3 linked regions of the Drosophila melanogaster genome follow. The gene in region 1 interacts genetically with each later gene. Each region holds a gene or a part of one and is shown on either strand. Other genes may lie near its edges. The genes, in order: Abi, wit and WASp.

The links.
Region 2: of Abi (region 1) and wit, changing one suppresses a phenotype caused by changing the other (phenotypic suppression), as found in Drosophila melanogaster (one study listed by BioGRID).
Region 3: of Abi (region 1) and WASp, changing one suppresses a phenotype caused by changing the other (phenotypic suppression), as found in Drosophila melanogaster (one study listed by BioGRID).

The regions. Positions count from the first base shown.
Region 1 is NT_033777.3:14,120,379-14,124,132, reverse strand, and holds the start of Abi (abelson interacting protein), read left to right. Parts: upstream 1-1,712; 5' UTR 1,713-1,855; intron 1,856-1,883; exon of another isoform or gene 1,884-2,020; 5' UTR 2,021-2,031; coding exon 2,032-2,387; intron 2,388-2,663; coding exon 2,664-3,286; intron 3,287-3,347; coding exon 3,348-3,438; intron 3,439-3,510; coding exon 3,511-3,522; intron 3,523-3,660; coding exon 3,661-3,754. Other genes in the region: twf (twinfilin), read right to left, coding at 1-98, 383-1,158, 1,260-1,337, 1,397-1,421.
Region 2 is NT_037436.4:4,070,118-4,073,871, forward strand, and holds the start of wit (wishful thinking), read right to left. Parts: upstream 1,601-3,754; 5' UTR 1,292-1,600; intron 165-1,291; exon of another isoform or gene 66-164; coding exon of another isoform or gene 1-65. Other genes in the region: CG32259 (uncharacterized protein), read left to right, coding at 1-65; Faa (fumarylacetoacetase), read right to left, coding at 1,968-2,314, 2,373-2,974, 3,035-3,252, 3,637-3,723.
Region 3 is NT_033777.3:28,830,119-28,833,872, forward strand, and holds the start of WASp (WASp), read right to left. Parts: upstream 1,907-3,754; 5' UTR 1,700-1,906; intron 1,196-1,699; exon of another isoform or gene 1,101-1,195; intron 1,023-1,100; exon of another isoform or gene 876-1,022; intron 560-875; 5' UTR 501-559; coding exon 384-500; intron 1-383. Other genes in the region: Apc (APC-like), read right to left, coding at 3,117-3,754.

The sequences.
Region 1 (3,754 bases):
TTGGGCTTGGCAAAAGCCGGTCGGTGTAGAATCTTCTTTGGGTGCAGCTCGTCCTGCAAGAAGGCTTCGGTCAGCTCGCTGCCGCTGTCGATTTCAAGCTGAAATGTAAAACGTTGTTAGAAACATGAATCAGATTTAGTATGATTTAAAATTACTCATTATTTATGATTTACAGATTTCTATTTCAAGTGAAAAGTGAGACATTCGCCCTAATTATGATTCAAAATATTTCTAGAGATCGTGAATCAAAAGTATAGTGAATGTGGCGATTTGAAAGCAATAAATAAATCACAAACAATATATACCCTGCTTTTGCTTTTTATAGCCCTAATCTTTAGTGCTATTAGCGCAGCCACACCCACTCGCATTCATATCAACTCACCTTCTTAACAACCTCCACGCCAAGGGCCGCGAGCTCGTCGAGAAAAGGAGCCTTACAGCTTGAGTACATCATGCGCTCGCGCACGGAGCAGGAATATCCAGGCATGGAGTAGACGAACACGTACGACTCAAAGTAGTCGCCCTCGTGCGTGTGCCGAAACAGGAAGAGGTGGTATCGTGCATGATCCTCGGGCACTTGCTTCGGCAGATCGGCGAGCTCCACTTTGGCCGCACGCGAAACATGGATCTGTTCCTCCTCCAGATCGATGCGGAACTGAAGGTAGTCGTGCTTGCCGCGCACCAAATCCTGAACGGCAGCCACGGTTGCCTCGCTCAGCGGGCAATTGATCCCACCCAGAGTTTGGTGCCGCGTATTCGTATTGATCTCAGTGTGAACCTCTGTCTTTCGCAGCTCTTTCAGCTCCTCCTCCCTGCTGGTCAATGGAGCTGGGGCTGCGAAATCCTGCTTGTGCCGGCGATAGCCCTCCAGCGTGCACTCATCCAGAGTGGTGGCATGCAGCTCCTCTGTGATGTATGCTGATCCGAACTCCGTTTTCAACGTGGCCTTCGTGGAAGCGTATACCATCTTCTGTCGGATGCTGGCCGTGTCCGGCGTCCAGCTGATAAGTAGCCAACTGTAGCCCAGCGGGATCTTGGCGTCCAGGCGATAGAGAATATAGCAGGGCACATCCTTTTCCAGTAGGGGACCTATAAGCTTGTCGTAGTCGCGCTCCCAATCCTTTTTCGTCTCCGCCGTGGCGCCGCAACTAAGCTGCTCTGTAATTTGGGGCGGGGTGAAAACGGATGCGGGTTCGTTATCAAATCGTATGCCTAGTATATATCTTGTGTATATACGTTTCTGGATTAAATCCACTCACCATTCTCGATCGAAACTTTTATCACGCGAAATTTACCATTCTTCGCTTTGCCGAACACCTTGGCCAGCTGCTCGTTGGCTGAAAATACAAAGGGTGTTCTAAGGATGCGGATTAGGTGGTTCCCAAAGATAACAAACCTCGGATACCCGTTTGGTGAGACATTTGGACAACAGCTAAAATTAATATTGCCGAAAAAATATATTACTCACAACCAGTGTGACCGCAAAGCGCGAGTAGGGAAATACTAAACCGGGAAATATGTACCGATTCTGATTGGCAATCACTTCAAAGCGGCTTTAAATGTGTAAAAAAAAAAGAATTATTAATTAAAAAGATACTGTAATGCTATTTTTATAACTAAATTTTGGGAAAATTTTTAACACTCTGTTTTATAGAACATACATTTCAAAAATAATACCAAATGTGTCTGCACTGATACAGTGTTGAAAAATTCTTCAAGCTCCAGTACTTTGCAGCACAGGCCAGCGTTCTTTCTTTTTTCACGGAAAATGTAATGAAAAACTGCATTTAACTGCATTTAAAACGTAGCAACTAGCCCGGAAAAGCATCTGTTGTGCAATCGCATAGTCAATAAAGTGAGTGCACGCGAGATTCGTCCGATTAAACCGCTCCAGCGATCAACTGGAGCAGCTGGGCGTCGACGTCGGCAGAGGCCAGCCCACGCCCCAAATGTTTACGGGCGTGAAAAGTGCGGAAAAGCGAGGAATTTAATTGGGTTTTCGTTTCCCGTTTGCCCGCAGCATCCACACCCATGTTGACCGAAACCCCCATGGCCAGCGAGAACATCATGGACGAACTAGCCTCTCTGATACGCACCGAGATCCCCGATGGCCGCCAGAGTCTGCGGGACAGCTACACGAACCTGGAGCGGGTGGCCGACTACTGCGAGGACACCTACTACCGCGCGGACAACAAGAAGGCGGCCCTGGAGGCCACCAAGAACTACACCACCCAGTCGCTGGCCAGCGTGGCCTACCAGATTAACACGCTCGCCTATAGCTACATGCAGCTCCTCGAGCTTCAGGCCCAGCAGCTCGGCGAGATGGAGTCCCAGATGAACCACATCGCCCAGACGGTGCATATCCACAAGGAGAAGGTGGCCAGGAGGTAAGAACAACAAATTGCTTAAACTAGAATAGGAAAAGGGGATATGCATATTTTAAAACGACAAAGAATACGGAATGAACATTTTTGTCTGTAAGTACGACTCATCGGTGATAAAAGCTTCATAGAGAAGAAATGTACATTCATACATGCGTCGTCAGACGTGCTGATAAGACTGAACGTCTCTTTCTTCATTCTTTTCCTACATAACTATTTAGTTTTTTCAATTCACTTTATTTGTATTAATTATTTTTGATTATCTTCATTGTCTTTTCTCAGAGAGATTGGCGTGCTTACGGCTAACAAGGTGAGCTCGCGCCAGTTTAAGATCGTGGCGCCCATCAATCCGGAGAAGCCCATCAAGTATGTGCGCAAGCCCATCGACTACTCGATGTTGGACGAGATTGGCCACGGCATTAACTCGGCCCAGCACTCGCAGGTGCGACAGAAACATCGGGGCTCCAGCCATGGGTCCGTGCAATCCTTATTGCCGCCGTCGGTGGGACCTCCGCCAACCACGAAGCCCCCAACTCCGCCGCAGATGTCGCGAGCTGGGAACACTGGCACACTGGGCAAGTCGGTCAGCAATACCGGGACACTGGGCAAGAGTTCGCGGGAGTACCGCACTCCGCCTGTGGTCAATCCACCACAGGTGCCATCGCACTACGCTCCCAACTATCCTATTGGGCATCCAAAGCGAATGTCGACGGCTTCTTCAACGATGACTACCACCACCACAGGCGGCGGAGCGGCGGGCAATGAACGAGCTGCTGGCTACAGTGCACTTCCGATGCCACCCAGCCAGCAGATAGCCACACATGTAAACCTGCCCTCCGCGGGCATGATGCAATCGCTGCCACCACCGCCGCCCACTACGTACGACGATCGCAGCAGCATGCCACGTGAGTTAATTTGATTATTCTGCAATAGCTCAATACTAATAATGCGGTTTGCAATTCGTAGCAGCTCCTCCTTCACCACTTACGGTTTCGCAGCACGAGATGACCGAGCAGAGTCACATTGGCATGCACACTTTGGGACGCAATATCAACAGGTAAGTTTCTGGAAAATGCAATCCCTTCTTTGTGTAAATATAACCTATTTATTGTTCTCTGTGCAAATCCAGGAATCCAAATAGGTAAATTGCATGTTTCTCTGTTTATCATAGGGTTATACTCAGCTAAAAAAAGTTATACTAGGTTTTCGTGTTTGTACTGTGTATAACTCCATGAAATTCATATGTTATCTTGTATATTAAACGCGTATTTTTCCAAAGGAATCACTTCAGCTTGAACTTCGCTCGTCCCGGCTCACAGTCGCCTCCCTTGCCACCTCCGCCGCCGCCGGAGGATGAGCATCAAGACTTCGGA
Region 2 (3,754 bases), on another chromosome or scaffold:
GCCAGAAAAAACTTTGGAAGATGCGTCAACGCGATAAAGCCCAGTTGAAGAAAAGCTCCGAATAGAATATTTTCTGTTCCTTTTCCATTTTCGTACAATATTTCTTGTATCATGATTATAATAATGTTCAATTTATAGAGCAATTATAATTTCGAAGGGACGCTATTTCTGGCCTTTCTTTTCTCCCATTTCGCTTCTGGTTTCCTCTCCTTTCTCCACTTTCAGCAAATGCGCACATGAAGAGAACTCAAGAAGCTAGAGAGCGGTGTCTCTGGCGCGCCAAAACAGGTTCAACTGGCGCTGTCCCAAGTGCTCCGTGGAGTGGGCCGAAGGAGGACCCGCGGGCGAGGAGGCGGAACCCGCCGGCTGCTCTCGCACGATAGCCGACGGCGCCAGTTAATTGCAAATACTGCTCGATACCCTACACTTGTCAGGGTGTACCCAACACGCTCTAAAACTATCTTGCATTAAAATCTTGCACCAATAAATTTTCCTAATACTTATGAATTAAGAAAAATCACATTGTAACACAGGAACCTATGTTAGTTTATAGTTCGTTTTATCACAGGGTATAAAACTGTCTTTAGGCTCACATTCTCCTTCGCTGTTAGTGTGTTTTGGGCCCCACCGTTTTGTTGTTCTTTGGGGCCTGATTAACTTTTTGCGTGCTGCGTGTGCATTTGTCCATGTCCCCATCCTCAGACACATCCGCGCCATTCGGGGGATACATCTTCGTGCTGCAGATGCATTTGGCCAAACTGCGACAGTCGGTGTAAAAAACGATGTGGAAAATCAATGCAAAAACACAAAAGTGCATGCAGTCGGCGGAGGACAGCAAGAACAACAATGGCGAAGGGAATTTGAATGGGTATGGATTCGGAGGTCTCTTGTTGACTTCATTCCACACAGTAAACAAATGGGTTGTATATTATTTTATAATGTATCCAAAATACGAATAATTTCAATGGCCCCTTGATCCTACTACTCGAACGCAATTGTTCTACATACATATCTTTAAAGAACATCCATATGCATACTATGTGATAATGTGCAAAAGATATTAACATTTCTAACAGTGCATGTGTACTGTGAGCAGACAGAGTGTTTTCTGCCAGGGTGGGTGGCCCACCCCAACCCGCCGTCTGCCCTTCGCTAGTCAGCGTATTTGTGTGTGTGTACTTGCGCAGAGTGGAGTAAAAAATTGATTTTTCCAAGACATTCAGCGTTGTTTGCGGAAAACATTTGCACTATTCTGCACTAATTTTAATTTCAATTTGCGAGCAGCACTTACACTTAATTCAGGGCGCTATTCAACCACTGCACTTGCACTTTAAGTTGTATTACTTATTTATTTCTTTTGTTTTAAATAACCGAAAGAAGTTGCACACTCGTCGGAAAATTTATTATTGGGGCACCGGCGCCAGTCGCGTCTGCTTTGCGCTGCACGGCAGCTTTTTTTATTTCTACGCTTTTTAGAGGCTTTTTTATGGCACTTTAAACAAGTTTGCCCGATAGGCGGGCCGTTTTGCCTTTCTGCCGTTTTGCCGTTTGACTTTTCGCAGCGCGCCCACCTTCGCCCGCCGACTTTCGAGGAATGAATGCGGTTTGCTGCTCCGCTCAGCTATGCTCCCATTGGCGCTCTCCGCTCTTCTCTGCAGCCAAAGAAGAAGCGGCGTGCGCGTATTTACGAAGCTGCGTGGAATGGCAGAGGCTCCGATTGGAGCGAGAGTTGTGTAAACGAAAGAGAGCAAGGCATCGTAGCGAGAGAGCGAAAGAGTTGAGCACTTGTTGAGCTTATTACTGTGCACCGAGAAAAAATATTACGTATACGCTACTATGGATGGCCATTTATCCCAAAAAGTATGCTTTTGAACGAAAAGTTGAAGTTTTCCGAACATCATAATGTATTGACGTATCCAGGAAGACTGAATAGAATTTATTTCATTTACTTATGTTAATAAGTGGTCCTACTGCGGAACGGGGTGGGCAGGCAGCACCTGACCCACACACTCCCCGAATCCGATTCGCAGTCCGTTCTTTTCGCAGTGGCCACGGATGATGACCTCGTCAAAGTCCTGGAGGAATTTTCTGGTCTTACCACCCGGAAGCTCCAATGTTTTGGTGCCCTTCCAGCAGAGCTCTAAAAGTGATCCGTACGAGTCTGGAGTCTCACCGGAGATCGTTCCGGAGGCCATCAGATCACCAGGACGCAGATTACAACCGGTGACTGTGTGATGAGCGATTTGCTGCAGTGGAGTCCAATAAAGGTGTTTGAAGTTCGACTTTGAAATAAGCGCTTCGTTTTGATCGGCGGCTGAGAAGGGGAAATTTTGTGAATTAACGTAACAAATCTTTAACAGGCGGCAACTTACGTTTCAAAGACACCTCGAGGTTGATATCAAAGTTAAAGGGAATGTTCTGGCGCAGATAGGGAAGCACCTCCGGTTCCTGAGGAAAGTTGTCCAAGACGAAGGGCTTCAGGGCAGCTGTGGGCACTACCCAAGGGGAGATGGTGGTTCCCAGATTCTTTGCGGTGAAGGGGCCCAGTGGCACATATTCCCACTTCTGAATATCCCTGGCACTCCAGTCGTTCATCAGCGTGAAACCGAACACGTTCTTCCAGGCCTCATCCACGCGTATGGGTTCACCCAGCTGATTTCCCTTACCACCGATAAAGAAAGCCATTTCTAGTTCGAAATCCAGAAGCTTGCAGGCGCCAAAGACGGGCTTCTCTGCTCCATCGGGAAACGTTTGACCAAGAGGACGACGGATGGGAGTACCGGAAACCACCACAGAACTTGCACGACCATGATAGCCCACCGGCAGATGGCGCCAGTTGGGCATCAGAGCATTGTCTGGTCCACGGAACATAATGCCGACATTGGTGGCATGGTGGATGGATGAGTAAAAGTCTGTATAGTCACCAATCTGTGCAGGCAGGTGCAGCTTGATCTCAGACTGTGGCACAATGGAACTGATAAATAAATAAATTATTAACTATGAATAATAAATTATTATAATAAATCCGACTTACACCGCCTTCAAGTCCACATTGTGGTCCAATTCTGAACCCTTCGTCAATAGCTTTTGAGTCTGGCTTCTTACCACATCCCAAGCTTCAAAGTCCAATCCCATAAGCTCATTCAAAGTTTCGGCCTGCAGGCTTTTCTGAACTTGGAAAGGAAACAACTGCGAGACAGCTTTCAGGTCCAGGACATGCTCTCCAATGGCCACACAAATACGGTGAACTTTCTACGGATGGTAAGATGAAAAACACCATTTACGATATACAAATACGATATATGATATGGGGCCTTATCAGAACCTGGTTGCTGGGGTATTAAAGATTGGATTAGCATATTGTTTTCGTAAACAAACTAGTTTGTCTTGGATGATGTATGCAAATGCTATGCCCCAAAGCGGTTTCTGTTCTAAAGTTGATTTCTAGAACATGTGGAACGATCCAAAGTCACATGAAACTGAAGAAAAACTTGAAAATATTACACGGAAAACAGGCTGAGTTAAAGGAACATTTGCTTTGCCATTTACCACTTTAGTTATCATTTACAACAGCGAGACCATTGTTCTAAAATCTCATAAAAATATAAGATTTGATTTCAGTATGATATCACTCACATTGTTTTCGGTTGAGAAGACAGCGTAGGGTAGATTTTCCAGCGGAAAATCGCTGTTCTCTGGCACTGGCACAAAACTCTGGGACATTTTAAAAGCACTCAAAGTGGAAAACTTGGGC
Region 3 (3,754 bases), about 15 Mb from region 1:
CTAATAATGTGTACGATACTCCCATGCAAGTTTTATAGCTGACCAACTAACTATAGTGCATAGAACTCTAATTTTGTTCACAGTTTAGCTTCCGGTGCCATCTTTAAATGGGCAAAGAAACCATTCAACTATGTTGGGCAGTGTGCAAGTGAAATTTGGTAAATATGACAGGCAGCTGCCCGTAGACCGTAGAATGATATTATGATATAGGGTTACTGTGCTTCGAGTGAAATTCGCACACGATGGGCGACACTTGAGCCGCAGGAAGTGCTTCATCAAGCCGTGGGATTTGCTCGGCGAAGGCGGAGGAACACAAACCATGTCATTGCTTAATTATTAATCACCCGATTGGGGGCATTATGCATCATCAGTACTCGACTCACCTGGCACTTCTTGCCCAGCAGCTTGAAGACGGCCTCATTCTCCTCCTGGGTGAGCAGCGTACTGGCGGCATTGACCTTCGCCCGTGGACCGTCCTGCGACCTCATTCCGCTGCTCATCTGGCCGGTTTCGTTGGATCTGGGTCTGGTGCTGGATATGGGGATCTGGGCTGGTTTCCCTGCACAATACGGACACAATACGCATTTTATTGTGTGGCGAAAACAATACGCAAATGAACAAAAGCTAAATGTATTAATTTAATATCACAAAACGCTGGGGACCCCGAAAAAGTAAAAAGTTCATAACAATAAAGGCACACGGAGTAACAGTTGAACTTCGATAGAGTGAACAAAAGTTTGGGATCGTAGGGTTGACGATACAATATGAAAAGTTTGAGCTCCCATAAATATACTAAAGAGTTCAGAAACTGTATAATATTTAACGTTTAAATGAATTATTGCAGTCAACGCCTTCGAATATAAAAAGATAACTACACTTGGATAGGCTGCCTATTTTTTTGTACAGTGTACAGCTTGTAAAAACTCCGATCTACAGAGAGTTTGAGCAACGGAGTCCGAAGTGTGTTGCGAATAACCCGATTTGGGATCGAAGAATTATGGTTTTGGGACTGCTGAATCGATTGACAGTATTGTCTTTACGGTTTTGAATGGTTTTCAGCCCGAATTACGGCCAAGAGCGCGAGCGAGAGAGACCGAGACCTGCGCTGGCTATGACGATGTAGCTGGTTATGGTGTCGGCGGGGCTGCGAGCGGATCGCCTGGTCTGAGTCACGGTGCCCGAGAGTCGGAAATCAGAAGCAGAAACAGAAACAGTCAGCCAGCAAGCCAGCCAGCTGCGTTTGAATGTGGGCAAAAGCCAGGCCAGTGGCAAACTCTTCGAAAAGAGCCCTTATCTTTGGCGAAAAGCACTGATTAGGTGTGCGCATGTATCTATGTGTGATACATGCACAGTGGTCTGGGTTACTCAACATTCGGCACTCGCCACAAGCCACCAGCCAATCCACCCCACTGTGCGCCACTCCGTAGCTCCAAGATTTGTGACAACACCTGTCCGTCGTCGCGCCAGGTGGGGTGAAAATGCAAATGTAAATAGACAGACGCTGCTGCGGATTGGGAGTAAGTTCATGGGTTGGGTTGGTTCGGCTTGGATGGGATGGGATGATGTGCTGCCCTACTCAAGGTCTCGAATTTCCCTTGTGAGCTGCTCTGCTGGGGGGGTCGCCCATTGATTTTTTGCGTTTATTTTCGTGCACTGCTCTTCACTCTTTCGTTTTTTTCCCACACACAACACAACACACCACAAAATCTGTGTAGTCTCTGGCCTTGCGGATTCCGGGACTCTTATCGGGAGGCTCTACTGTGCGCGCGTCCGCGTCATCGAGTGCATGGCGTTGAAAACGAGTGTTCCTCGGTTGATTATTCGTCTGTTCCCGGACGCAATGCTAGTTTGTTTATTCATTTATTTTTTTTCACTCCAATTCAATTGCTGCCAGTGTGACCGACCGAAAAAGGCGATAGGCTAAAAATACTATCCTTTCGATAATTTCCTAAAATATGCATCAAGCTCTGCCAAGGCCCTGTGCAGACCATGCTCGAGACTTTTCAATTTTGCCCATCACTAGTTCCGCTTAAAAGTTTATCAAAAAGTTTCAGGCAATTCCGTTAAGAAATCGCGAGTGGAGAGCTGTGGGAATAGTATATTTTTTCATTTATGTTATCTTTTCCGTTAAATTTGATTTTGTTTACCACGCCCGTAAATTCGAATAAATATTTGTTCATCTGGCTTTCAAAATATGTTTTATTTTGATATAAATTATAATCGAGTAAATTCACATTGGTTTAATTTTTTGCTGACAAAAAGCATATTTCGATTTATTCATATTGAAAATGGTTAATCGCATTGAATCGGTAAAAACTAAGTCGCAAATGATGAGCTTAATGCATAAGCTGTTTCCTAAAACAGTTACCCTTAACTTGCTAAATTATATAAAAGAATACTTAAAAAGCAGTGACTAAAAAATGTGAATTTCTTCTCTCTTCAGATATTTGGTGTTTGCATAAGGAAGCCAGGGGCATATTTTAAACTTAGAGTATATTCTCAATAAAGATGTGCAACTATATGATTGTAATTGATTTCAGTAGCTCACCAGTTGGAGGACAGCTCATCTAACTAAGTGTTAAAAAAGTTAAATCAGAACAGACATTCGACTTGGTAAACCTTTCCTAGTTAATGCGACAATCGAATATATAGCATTTATATATATGCCAGTATACATTTTGTATATATTGGGTAGTTGTACACATGTTGAAAGGCCTGATTTTGTGTATATATATGCAATACATTTGGCTACACACGATCGGGAGCATCGGGAGCTTCCTTCTCTGACTGTGATTTGGATAAGTTGAAGTTACTAGGAGTTTGCGCTAACTCTATGCTAAACTGGTTGCTTACAAAGTTTTAGGGTCTACGTATAATGTATAAAGTAAAAGGAGAGTAAAATATGGATTACATAGCGTATGTATATTAACTCCTATCCTAAAAACTCTTTGATTTTGACTCTGACTCTAGCTCGGCTTGTGGATGTGGACCTGTGCGTGTTCGGTTCCTAAAAAATGCTTGACAAATACAGTCCTGTTCCTCTTACAATCTCCACTTCCGTTTTCGCTTTAACTTGGCTAATTTGTGATCCATACTATCCTGAACAAATTAACCCTCTATTTCCGCGCGCCCACCACTGGCAGCTTGGACTTGACTCCTCCAGCGGTGCTGGGGGTATTGTCAAACGTGGAGCTGCGCAGGAGCGTCGGCTTGGTTCCATTTGCGTTGAGCATGTTGGAAGATTTGGTTTTCTGCGTCCTCAGGTTGGATGACGATTGCTTGGTTTTGGCCTCGTCCACTCTCTTCCAGATGTTGGCGATACGACTTTGCGCATGGTTGATCTTGGCCGCAGCTGCTGCGGCTGCACTGCTTCCATTTAGGTTGGAGTTGCTGCGGGATGGTGGAGTAGTGGACGACACGCGGCCGGAGACCACACGTGAGGCAGCGTGAGATTTGCCCGCAGCTAGTCGCAGACTGGTGTTTGCCCTTTGAGGCGTCATTCGGCGGGCCGGCGCCAAGGGAATCCTCTTGGGAGAGCCCGCTTTCGATGGTGACCCACCGCTGGCCGTGCCTTTCTTTGTGGGTAACTTCGAGGCGCGGTGAGTGGGACTGGTTTGAGCCGGTTTTGTCTCCACCACGGGCACTTGAACATTGGAGTTAGTGGGCTCGTCCTTGACAAAGGTTCCCTGGCGTTCCAAGCGTGCGGGTGCCGGCTCAGGCGGCGGCGTCGGCTTCTTTTTCGCTGGTAACCTAA